Linked DNA regions of Sus scrofa. The protein of the gene in region 1 purifies or fractionates together with the protein of each later gene. This does not show direct contact. Links are inferred from orthologs where the notes say so. Each region holds a gene or a part of one and is shown in the gene's direction. Other genes may lie near its edges.

Evidence for each region. Proteins that work in one complex are often made in the same cells at the same time.
Region 2: the proteins of EXOSC5 (region 1) and ZFC3H1 purify together in Homo sapiens (affinity purification with mass spectrometry; 3 studies listed by BioGRID and IntAct, with this or other methods). This does not show direct contact. The link is inferred for Sus scrofa from reciprocal best matches to the Homo sapiens genes EXOSC5 and ZFC3H1.

What each region holds. Positions count from the first base shown.
Region 1 is NC_010448.4:49,377,489-49,383,879, reverse strand, and holds the start of EXOSC5 (exosome complex component RRP46), read left to right. Parts: upstream 1-2,132; 5' UTR 2,133-2,176; coding exon 2,177-2,324; intron 2,325-5,490; coding exon of another isoform or gene 5,491-5,512; coding exon 5,513-5,626; intron 5,627-6,168; coding exon 6,169-6,290; intron 6,291-6,391. Other genes in the region: BCKDHA (2-oxoisovalerate dehydrogenase subunit alpha, mitochondrial), read right to left, coding at 1,563-1,679. UniProt on the Homo sapiens protein: Non-catalytic component of the RNA exosome complex which has 3'->5' exoribonuclease activity and participates in a multitude of cellular RNA processing and degradation events.
Region 2 is NC_010447.5:35,639,178-35,644,848, reverse strand, and holds part of ZFC3H1 (zinc finger C3H1 domain-containing protein), read left to right. Parts: intron 1-1,223; coding exon 1,224-1,398; intron 1,399-1,637; coding exon 1,638-1,769; intron 1,770-2,134; coding exon 2,135-2,677; intron 2,678-2,762; coding exon 2,763-2,872; intron 2,873-4,000; coding exon 4,001-4,132; intron 4,133-4,238; coding exon 4,239-4,360; intron 4,361-5,605; coding exon 5,606-5,671. UniProt on the Homo sapiens protein: Subunit of the trimeric poly(A) tail exosome targeting (PAXT) complex, a complex that directs a subset of long and polyadenylated poly(A) RNAs for exosomal degradation. The RNA exosome is fundamental for the degradation of RNA in eukaryotic nuclei.

The sequences.
Region 1 (6,391 bases):
CAACCCCACAAAAAGTCTTATTTTTCTTTCATTTTTCTTTTTTGGCTTTTTAGGGTTGCACCACGGTACATGGAGGGTTCCAGGCTAGGGGTCAAATTGGAGCTACAGCTGCCAGCCTACACCACAGCCACGCTGTTTCCAAGCCACGTCTGCGACCTACACCACAGCTCACAGCAACGCAGGATCCTTAACCCACCGAGCGAGGCCAGGGATGGAACCTGCAACCTCATGGTTACTAGCAGTATTCATTTCCTCTGCACCAGGACGGGTACTCCCCCACAAAGTTCTGATAGATTTCCTCACCAACCCAGCCCTTTTCCCTCATCTCCAAAGTCAGTTTCTGTCCCCTTTCAACAGCAGCCAAAATCCACTCTGCCCTCGTCATGGGCACATCCAGTCCTTGGCACTCTTCTGTGTTCTTCACAACAATCTGTTGTTAGCATTTTACTGGCTGGCGGGGGTGGGAGTGGGGGGGATTAGGTCCAGAGAGAAGCAGTCCCTTGCCCAAAGCTAAAAAACTAGAAAACAGCAGATCAGGGATATTGGTCCCACATGGTCTAGCTTCAGAGCACACCTTCTTAACTACTTACATGTGAAAACAATCCACAGCTCTTCTGCAGCCCACTGCCTCTCTTCCCCTTAAGAGGGGCTCCCAATTAGATTTCTGCTGTGAAAGCTCTCATCAACCTAAAGGAAGGCTGACCCTGCGACAAGAAATGAGGCATTTCTTACGTGTTCCTAAGCAATGTGGACAAGTGCTCTGTCTGGACCTCTCTCCCTCCTCGTCCACCCTCATTAGCTGAACAAATACTTACTAATCATCTCCTTTGTAATGATCAAGACAGACAAGGTCAACAGCCAGGTACTGCATCAGGGGACCCAGGATCAAACGACTTTTTTACACGATTCATTTTAAAATCAGAGCAGGAGTTCCTGTTGTGGTTCAGTGGGTTAGGAACCGGTCATAGTGTCCATGAGGATGCAGGTTCCACTCCTGGCCCCGCTCACTGGGTTAAGAATCTGGCGTTGGCCCCCAGCTGCGGTTCCCATTCCACCCCTAGCCTGGGAACTTCCATATGCTGCAGATGCCCCAATAAAAAGTAAAAAAACAAACTAAAAAAAACCAGAGTTGAAGCAAAAAGGCACTATAAAAGCCTGTGCTGGGGTATCTGCTCTCTCTTCTCTTCTTGGAAGGGGGAGTCTTTCCCAAGAAGAAAATCTTTCCTTTGTAAACGCAATTTCACTCTCCAACCCCTGAGGAGAAAGGTCACACTTTCCCCCCATGTCCTCCAAGAGGCCTCCCCGGGGCATTGGTGGCAACTAATAAGAAACGCCCTCCCTCACTTTCTCCACGTTGTCTTCCTCCCTGAGGGTCCACAAAGAAGCTGTCCCGCTTTGCCTCTCCTAAGGAAGTGAAACTTCTTCCCTTGAGGGTCCGCTACAAGATGTTTCTGCAGCCCTTCTCCCTTCAACCGCCCTCCATGTACTCCCTACAGGGACGCCACACTCTGAAGAAGGAGTTAACATTTCTATACCTTCTCGGGTACCTCCCCAGTACTCACAGATCTAGCCAGACCCCGAGCCCCAAGCCGCCGCAGAAGCAGGAGGCCAGCCTGGCCCAAGCCTTGACTGCGCTCCCAAACCCTCGCCACAGCCACCGCCAACGCCATCTTGACCATTAATACCTCAGAGTAGCGTCCCCCTCCTTGGCGAGACTGGGGCTGCCCCTTCAGGAGCCTGACTCAAATACCAGGATCGCTCTGCCAAGAAACCACCTGCTACTAATCCTGCGGTCTTTAGGACACATATATAGGTGGGTAAAATAATCCAGATTTCCCCAAATTACTCCGATCGCTTCACCGGAGTTATTCCTCTTAACAGGCAAAGCAGAGGGCAACTGAGCTCGGCTTCAGGGTTTCAGGGCCCCGGGGCCTCGGGTAGGACGAGCTCATGCCAAGGCCCGCCCTCTCTTCCCTTCTGTCCAATGGCTTTCCTGGACTCTCTAGGCGGGAGTAGGAGGGACCAGATTGTTAGTAAACGCAGAGACACGTGCGGGCGCGGATCCCGGAGGGCCCCGCACCCAAGTTGGCGCTTGCTCATTGGGTACGCAGTCTGTACGCAAGCGCGCGCTTCTGGGCGGAAGCGACAGTCCCTGCTGCACGTGGGCTCCCCGGCGATGGAGGAGTCGATGCAGACTGAAACCAAGGTACGCCCCGAGTCTGGAGCAGAGTCTGGCCCTCGGAGCCCCAGCTGTACTCTCCGGCACTTTGCCTGCGAACAAAACTTGTTGTCCCGGCCCGATGGCTCTGCCTCTTTCCTGCAAGGTAAGAATTTACCCACGTCGTATTTGTTCTCGTGGGCGGGTACAGTGTATTGTGTTAGCTGGTAAATATCTTCTTGGACTGATGCAGTTCTTGCCGGAGTGAATGGTACTGCATATGCCAGTAGACAAATAGAAGGGTGAAGATACCTCCACTCTGGTAAATATGCCTCAGGATGAGAGAGGGGCAGACCTTCTCTTAAGAACGAATACTCCAGGGACTTCCCTTCGTGGCTCAGCAGTTAAGGAACCCGACTAGGATCCATGAGGATGAGGGTTCGATCCCTGGCCTCCCTTAGCGGGTTAAGGATCCGGCGTTGCTGTGAGCTGTGGTGTAGGTCGCAGACACAGCTCGGATCTGGGGTTTCTGTGGTTGTGGTGTAGGCTGGCAGTTGTAGCTCTGATTAGATCCCTAGCCTGGGAACTTCCATGTGAGGCCTGAGAGAGCAAAAAAAAAAAAAAAAAAAAAAAAGAACGAATACTCCAGAATAGGGGAAATCTCACCGTGTAAAAAAAGTCCTCCTTGACTAGGTTCCTCCCACACATGCACTCTGGATTCATCTATCCCTGGTTGAGGCAAACCTGTTCTTTTGCGTAAATACCTCGTAGACTGGCAAATCACCACTACTGATTTTTTTTTGTTTGTTTTTCTTTTTTCTTTTTTTTGCTTTTTAGGACCGCACTTGCAACATATGGAGGTTCCCAGGCTAGGGGTTCAAATGAAGCTGTAGCTGCTGGCCTACATCGCAGCCACAGCAATGCGAGATCTGAGCTGCATCTGCGGCCTACACCACAGCTCACGGCAACCCCAGATCCTTAACCCACCGAGCGGGGCCAGGGATTGAACCCATAGCCTCATGGATACTAGTTGGGTTCTTACCCGCTGAGCCAAAATGGGAATTTCGTTGTTTTATATATACGGAGTTGCCAGGCTGGGGATCACATCCAAGCCCCAACTGTGTCCTTCCTATGCCCTTAGAGTGGCAACGCTGGGCCAGGGTTCCTGCCAATTCCTTTGTGCCACAGCGGGAATTCCTGAACACATGTGTTTTTGCTAAGTACTGTTCTAAGCACTGAGAAATCATAGCTAAAAAGGTTTTTTGTGTTTTTTTAATTTCTTTTTTTATATTTTTTTCTGTTTTATATAAGTTTTTAAATTCCTGCCCTAGAAGAGTTTCCATTTCCATCAGAGAAACAAGTGATAACTAAGTAAAACTTAGTAAAAGGCTATGGAGGAAACTACCGCAGGAAGGAAGAATAGGGCGTGCCAGAGAGGGGTGCAGTCTCAAATGGGATGGTCAGGGAAGGCTTCGCTAAGATGGTACCATTTGAATAAAGATCTAAAGGTAAGGGAGCAAACCCTCAAGACAGTAAGAGAAAAGCATTGGGGACAAGGGTAAAGGCCCTGAGACAAAAACTTGCCTGGTGTGTTTGAGGAGCAGTCAGGAGAGCAAAGTGGCTGCAGCAGAGACAGGAGGTCAAAGAGAGGTACGGAGGACTGCCCTTCATGCAAGTTTCTTAGCACTTAAATACTGAGCCTCTTCCATGTTCTAAAACCCCAAAGCCCAGGACCCTGGAGCAGAGTCCCTCAAAGGCCCTCAGAAGTGTGTCTCACATGCTCCTGGCCTCAGAATCTCTACTGAGGTTAAGAATTCCGAGCCCCAGGAGTTCCCTGGTGACTCAGCAGGTTAAGGTTCCAGCATTGTTACTGCTGTGGCTCAGGTCCAAGCTGTGGCAAGGGTTTGATCTCTGGCCCAGGAATTCCATGTGCCGTGGGCACAGCCAAAAAAAAAAAAATGCTGAAGCCTCAGAACCCACCCACACCAGCTAAGTCTGGCCCTCTACACTTTTTAATCCACTACAGCGGCAATTCTGATTGCAGGCCAGCGTTTTGAAGCTGTGCACCAGCTCCGTGTCCTCCCACTGCAGGTTGCAATCCCCGCTGCACATTAGAATGGCCTGTGGAGCTCACAGGCTGCCGGTGCCTGAGCGCCAGCCCTCAGCAATGGTATTAGGCTCTCTGAGGGGAGGGGCCTGTGCATCAGTGTCTTTTAAAGCTCTGCAGTGAGTCCAATGTGCATTCGTTAGTGATTCTTTTTTTTTTGCTTTTTGTGGCTGGGCCTGCGGCATATGGAAGTTCCAGGCTAGGGGCTGAATCGGAGCTACAACTGTTGGCCTACGCCACAGCCACAGCCACATTGGATCCTTAACCCACTGAGCAAGGCTAGGGATCGAACCCACATCCTCATGAATATTAGTTGAGTTCTTTAACCTCTGAGCTGCAGAGGGAACTCCCTGAAAAAAAATTTTTTTTTTTTGTCTTTTTTGCTATTTCTTGGGCCGCTCCTGCAACATATGGAGGTTCCCAGGCTAGGGGTTGAATCGGAGCTGTAGACACTAGCCTACGCCAGAGCCACAGCAACGCGGGATCCAAGCCGCGTCTGCAACCTACACCACAGCTCACGGCAACGCCGGATCGTTAACCCACTGAGCAAAGGCAGGGACCGAACCCGCAACCTCATGGTTCCTAGTCGGATTCGTTAACCACTGCGCCACGACGGGAACTCCTGAAATATATTTCTTATTGGGGGTTATGGTCAGAAAAATTTGGAAGCTACTGTTTTAGTTCAGCCTCTTCATTTTTGCAGATGGTAAAACTGAGGCCCAGAGAAGTGAGCAAAATCAGCTGAGGTTACAGAGCCAGGAGGAAATGAGCAGGAGTTAGAACCCACCCCCACCCCCCAGGTATTTATTGGGTTCTCAGGTATCCTTACTGCTGCAGAGTTGAGAGCTGGGCTAGGGGAAGCTGTGGGAAGAGAAGTTGGGACCAGCAGCAGTAAGAGGGAGGGAGGTTAGTGCAGGAGGGACTTCCCGGTGAAGTTAATAACAGCTTAAGTCTGTTGAGCACTCAGCAGGGGTACCAGGCAGCTCCTGAGCCTTTTTCCTTTAAGTGGATCATCTCATTTAACCCTCAACAGCTGTGAGGGAGGAGGTATCGTTTGACGGATGGGGAAGTGGAGGCAGAGAAACGAAGCAAGTGCCCCAAGAGTCACTGTCAAGGAATGGTGGGCCAGAGCCGGGGTGACGTGGGGAAGCCCGGCCACCGGCTCTGTGCCCACACTGTTAAGTGCCGCGCGTTGGGCCCCGGAGGCGGGGGAGACGTGGGCAAGGCCTCCTGTGCTGTCTCCCCAGGGGATACCTCCGTCCTGGCAGGCGTGTATGGCCCAGCCGAGGTGAAGGTCCGCAAAGAGATCTTCAACAAGGCCACACTGGAGGTGATCCTGAGGCCTAAGATCGGGCTGCCGGGTAATTGGGCCTCTCGCCTGGGGTCTCCCTCACTGCGCTCCCCGCTCTCCCCTCCCCCCACCTGCTCCTCTGTCTGTCTCCAGCTATTTCTGTCTCTTTTCCCCAACAACATGCTTCCAAGTCTGTTTCTGTCCCTTCTCCGCCCCCCTCCCACCCCCCCATCGCCTCCACTTTCCCCTCATCTTCCGTGTGGCTCGTCTCTCCTTTCCATGTCTTTCCATCAACCTGTTTTTCTGCCCTTTTACTCTCCATCCCCCTCACTCCCCAGGGCTGGGCCCTCTGGGATGGGAGTGGACAGCAGCAGTGCTGGACATGGGGGCTCTAAGGTTCTCCTGCCCCCGGAGGCTCCCTCGGTGGGTGCTGGCAGTGGCAGGAGTGGGGACTGACTGCCTCCTCCCTGCTGGGAATCCTCTGTCTTCCATGCAGGGCCTTGCACTAACCCAGGCTGAGACTGCAGGCCCTTTCCGGGGGGGCTCGGGTGGGGTATGTGGAGGAAGATGAGCCTGACAGCCCCACACCACCCCACCCCTGGTTTCCCCCAGGCGTAGCGGAGAAGAGCCGGGAGCGGCTGATCAGAAACACGTGCGAAGCAGTAGTGCTGGGAGCGCTGCACCCCCGCACCTCCATAACCGTGGTGTTGCAGGTCATCAGTGATGCAGGCTCTGTATCCTTTCCCACCTGGCCACCACCTCCAGGAAGTCCTCCAGTATCTCCCTGATTGTACCCTTTGTGGGCCATGTACACACCCGCTACTAGTCTACCTGA
Region 2 (5,671 bases), on another chromosome or scaffold:
CCTGTGCTATACCTCACTGCTTATCCATTCTGTATGTAATAGTTTGCATTTGGTGTTATGTATGTTTTAAAAGAGGTTAAAATAAATTCATTTTGGGAGTTCCCTGGTGGCCTAGCAGGTTAAGGATCTAGCATTGTCACTGCCCTGGCTCACGCTCGCTGCTGTGGTGTGGGTTTGATCCCTGGACTAGGAGCTTTTGTGCAGCCAAAAAAAATTCATTTTAGATTCCATTTCTTTAATAACTTTCATAACAAATGAATACATTTTTAAAAAATCTTTGCCTTTCTTCTCCCCATCCTATTACATATTCTCTGCCTTTATGATTCACTCTAGATGTTAATTGTTGTGACTGTTTGAAATAAGATGTTTCATTTTTTTAACCATAATATTCAGTAGTTGATCAAGATGAAAATCTGTATCCATAAATTTGTTTTTGTCTTTTTTTGCTTCTGTTCCAAACTTTACATCTGTCTATTGTTTAAAAATTAAACTTCCTTTTCCCTTCCTTGCCTTGTCTTAGATAAAATTGACTTAGAGGTTTGTTAGGTAATTAAATATGCTTGATTATGTTTATTAGATGTTTTTTGTGTATATATTAAAAGTATTATAAATGAAGCTAAACAGCAATTATGTCTTAAGTTTATTATTTAGGAGTTATATAGGGCTGATTGAACATTTACTGTTAACAGCTTTTCAGCCTTTATTCACATTACACAGACAAATGTTTTGTTTTGTTTTTTCCTTTTTTGGGGGGCTGCACCTGTGGCATATGGAAGTTCTAGGCTAGGGGTTGAATCGGAGCTGCAGCTGCTGGCCTATGCCACAGCCACAGCAATGCCAGATCCAAGCCACATCTGCAACCTATACTGTAGCTCACTACAATGCCAGATCCTTAACCCACTGAGTGAGGCCAGGGATTGAACCCCCATCCTCATGGGTATTAGTCGGATTTATTACTGCTGAGCCACAATGGGAACTCCCAATTTTTTTTAAAGATCAGACCTATAGTTGCTTTCATAAAATGTAACAGTGTCTATCTGAATACATGTATGATGAAAGGAATACTTGGTGAATATGAAAATATCCTTTGAAATACTCACTTCTGTGTATCAAATATATTTTTAAAAATGAGCTATTACTTTGTAATTTTTTTATTGTGATGGTGTTAGTCCACTAGTTTAGAAAAACAAACATTAATAAGAATTTTGTTATTTCCCAATTAGGATTCTCTTGATGAAAGATGAATCTGTTTTAAAGAATCTAGTACAGCAGGAAGCTAAGAAGAAAGAATCTGTTCGAAATGCTGAAACAAAAATTACGAAACTTACAGAGCAGCTTCAGGCAACAGAGAAAATTCTCAGTGTCAATAGAATGTTTTTGAAGAAGCTTCAGGAACAAGTAATGTTCTTTTTTAAAATTAAATATTGTAGTCTCATGTTTACTACACATTTTTATGGGCCAAATTTTTAATAAAACCATAAACCGAAACTATCAAAATACATAACCTATGTTTTGTTCTCTCTTGAAACGTGGTATTTTCGTATTTTAATTTTCAGTTGAATACCCTAAAGCTACTATGTTTGAGAAGATATTTCCTCTTCTAAGATTTACATTTTCAGAATTATCCAATATTTCAGATTCACAAAGTTCAGCAACGTGTTACAATTAAGAAAGCTTTAACTCTGAAATATGGAGAAGAACTTGCTCGGGCAAAAGCAGTGGCTAGTAAAGAAATAGGAAAACGTAAACTGGAACAAGATCGCTTTGGAGTAAGTTGTGTGTAGAAATATTTTATGTTTGAAAAGGAGAAGGTTTTAATAATACTTTTGAGGATAAGAGATATATAAAAAATTCAAGCTTTTTACTGCATATTCAAGGAAACTAAGGGTAAAGCTTTGTTTTTATATGACATCTACATTTTTAGAAATTTATTTTTAAAGTTACTTTGACTTTTTTTTAAAGTTTTTGTGTATCATAGATTAACTGGTAAATCTGTTGGGAAGCTTTTGTAAAACTATTTTATTTATCGATTTAGTTTTATTATGTTGTATTATAGGGATAGCCTAATTATCTTACCAAAAATCATTTATAAAATCATAACAATATAAAATACTGATACCATTTTTCCCTCCAGCCAAACAAAATGATGAGACTGGACAATTCTCCAATATCAAGTCCAAGAAAGCATTCAGCAGAATTAATTGCTATGGAAAAAAGACGATTACAAAAGCTAGAATATGAATATGCTCTGAAAATTCAGAAACTAAAAGAAGCCAGGGCCCTTAAAGCAAAGGAACAACAAAATATTGCTCCACTTGTGGAAGAGGAACCTGAATTTTCTTTACCTCAGCCCTCACTTCACGATCTGACTCAAGATAAATTAAGTCTGGACACAGAGGAAAATGATGTTGATGTTGAGATTTTGGCTGGATCAAACAGAGAACGAAGAAGATCATTCTTAGAATCCAATTCTTTCACTAAACCTAACCTCAAGCACACTGATACACCTAACAAAGAATGTATAAACAAACCTACCAAGAATACAGTAGAAAAACCAGAACTTTTTCTAGGATTAAAAATTGGTGAATTGCAGAAATTATATTCAAAAGCTGACAGCTTAAAACAACTGATTTTAAAAACTACCACAAGCATTACAGACAAGATTTTGCATGGTCAGGTAACTGAACATTTCAAATTATTTATGAAATCTAGACTTCACCCTAGCCATATTTGCCTTAAGAAATTACTATTTTCTTTTGCAGGAGATTTCCGTGGATGTGGATTTTGTGACAGCACAGAGTAAAGCAGCAGAAGTGAAGCCATGTCCGTTTAGACCCTACCATAGTCCCCTTCTAGTTTTTAAGTCGTACAGGTATAGAAGGAAGATTTAATAAGCTTGAGTTTCAGGGTTGCTTCTTGTTGTTAATGATATCCTAAGCTTGCATATTTGATGATAATGAAAATTGAATCATGGTCATGAAAAAAATGAACTTGTATAAATTACTGTCTTGTTTTCAGACTTGAACCAAAGAGGAAGTAAGGTTCACTTCACACCTGGTTTCATCAATTCTTATCAAATCTTAATTTCTAGCTACTGGTGGAATTGTGGAGAATTCTCAATTACTGTCTGTTAAAGATTTTAAGAAAAATAACTGAAGTCTTAGGAGAATTTTTAATTTTTTAAAATGTTTTACTATTACTCTAAGGAAAACATTGGCCAGCTTTCATAAACTTGATTTGATACTTTCAGATGATTACCTTAGTGAGAGGTTGCTTTTTTTTTTTTCTTTAAGACTTTTAGAAGCTGTTAGACTTAAATTGGTATGATTTTATAAAACTATTAAGCATCTACTATGTAGTGTAAACTTTTTCTCTAGTTTCTTGGTTGGCTGGTAATGTAAGAAATACCAGTGTTGGGAGTTCCCGTCATGGCTCAGTGGTTAATGAATCTGACTAGGAACCATGAGGTTGCGGGTTTGATCCCTGGCCTTGCTCAGTGGGTTAAGGATCTGACTTTGCCATGAGCTGTGGTGTAGGTCGTAGATGAGGCTCGGATCCCGCATTGCTGTGGCTCTGGTGTAGGCCAGCAGCTGCAGCTCCGATTGGACCCCTAGCCTGGGAACCTCCATATGCTGTGGGAGCGGCCCTAGAAAAGGCAAAAAGACAAAAAAAAAAAAAAAAAAAAAGACCAGTGTTTTATAGAGTTTTATCATGTGGTAAAAATTACTACTTTTAGAATACAGGATATTTTTGTTCTTTGTTTTCTGTTTCCTATATTTTATATCCTGGGTATAAAAGTATCATGTTCCTAGGACTTGATATTCTTGTTGTTTGTGAGACTTCATTTTGGTATCAGATAGTATTAGATTAATAATTAGATAAATAGTAAGCTCAAAGTATAGAAACTTTAACTGAGAAAGAAAAGATGAAAATTTCTTAAATTTTCTGAGGAATGTTTATAGAGCATCATAATGTGCCTGTCTGCCTCTTTTCTTCTTAGATTTAGTCCATACTATCGTACCAAGGAAAAACTTCCCCTAAGCTCAGTATCATACAGTAATATGATCGAACCAGATCAGTGTTTCTGCCGTTTTGATTTAACAGGAACGTGTAATGATGATGATTGTCAATGGTGAGTAGTTTTTATTTGTGAGCAGTTTGTAAATTAAAAGGTAGTCTTGGTTATTTGGCTTTGGTATATACATGATTATCTTTTCTGTGTTGTTATTTATTTTTAGGCAGCATACACAAGACTATACGCTTAGCCGAAAACAGCTCTTCCAGGACATTCTGTCATATAATCTGTCTTTGATTGGTTGTTCAGAGACAAGCACTGATGAAGAAATTGCTGCTGCAGCAGGTTCTTAAAGACCTCTTGTTTCTCAACTGAAAATTTGAATTTAGGCAATTTAAAAGCTTTATATTCAGTTGTTGACATCTTTAAAGAGCTATAATAATTCAATACATTCATCTTTGACACTTTATCTAGGTCTGCTCTATCCACTACAGTAGTCACTAGCTATATGTTGCTATTTAAATCTAAGTTAATTAAAATAAAAATTTATTTCATCAGTTACACTAGCCACATTTCAAATGCTCAGTAGCCACTGTTGAGGTCAGTGTTGGTAAGTACTTACCAATAAGACAGTGCATATATATAAGACATCCATCATTGCAGAAAGTTCTTTTGATGGTGCTCATCTAAATATTTCAGTTTATTTAGCAGTGTATATCACATGGTTGTATAGAAATTTTACTGATATTTTAAAAATAAACCCTATTTATTGTTTTTGAAAATAGAGGGGTGTTGGAAGTTGAGACGACTGTAGACTGTAGTTTCAAATCCTACAATGAAGTATAAAAAGACCTTTTTTTTTTTTCCAGTCTTTTTGTCTTTTTAGGGCCGCACCCGATGCATATGGAGGTTCCCAGGCTAGAGGTCTGATCGGAGCTGTAGCTGTCAACCTATGCCACAGCCACGGCAATGCCAGATCCAAGCCGCATCTGCGACCTACACCACAGCTCACGGCAATGCTGGATCCTCAACCCACTGACTGAGCAAGGCCAGGGATTGAACAGGCAACCTAATGGTTCCTAATTGGATTCGTTTCCTTTGTGCCATGATGGGAACTCCCTAAAAGTACTTTGTACACTTTTTTTTTTTTTTTAATTTTTTTAATTGTTATTTCCCTAATACAATTTTTTTTCCTACTGTATAGCATGGTGACCCAGTTACACATACATGTATACATTCTTTTTTCTCACATTATTGGTGTTTGTTAAATTCAGTATTGTGATGACTCAGAGTGATTGTAACATCACCGAATCTATTTAATCATTCCCAATTAGGGACTTTAATTTTCACTTTTTTAGGTTGTTTTGGTAAATACTCTTTTCCAGCCCAAATTGGGTGCATGATATGGTGGGATTTGCTCTAGCAGTTGAGATAATGTAGGCCTTCCTTGCCCTTTAGAAGGCCATGGGTGTTTTTGACTAGTACTTTTAACTTTTAAACTATTCTTCACTTCTTTGTCTTTAGTTAGCCTAATTTCTGTAATCCATGTTTATTATACTTTTTATGAAGATAGCATTGCTCTACTTTCAGAAAAATATGTCGAGAAGCTTTTTGGAGTAAACAAAGATCGAATGTCAATGGACCAGATGGCTGTTC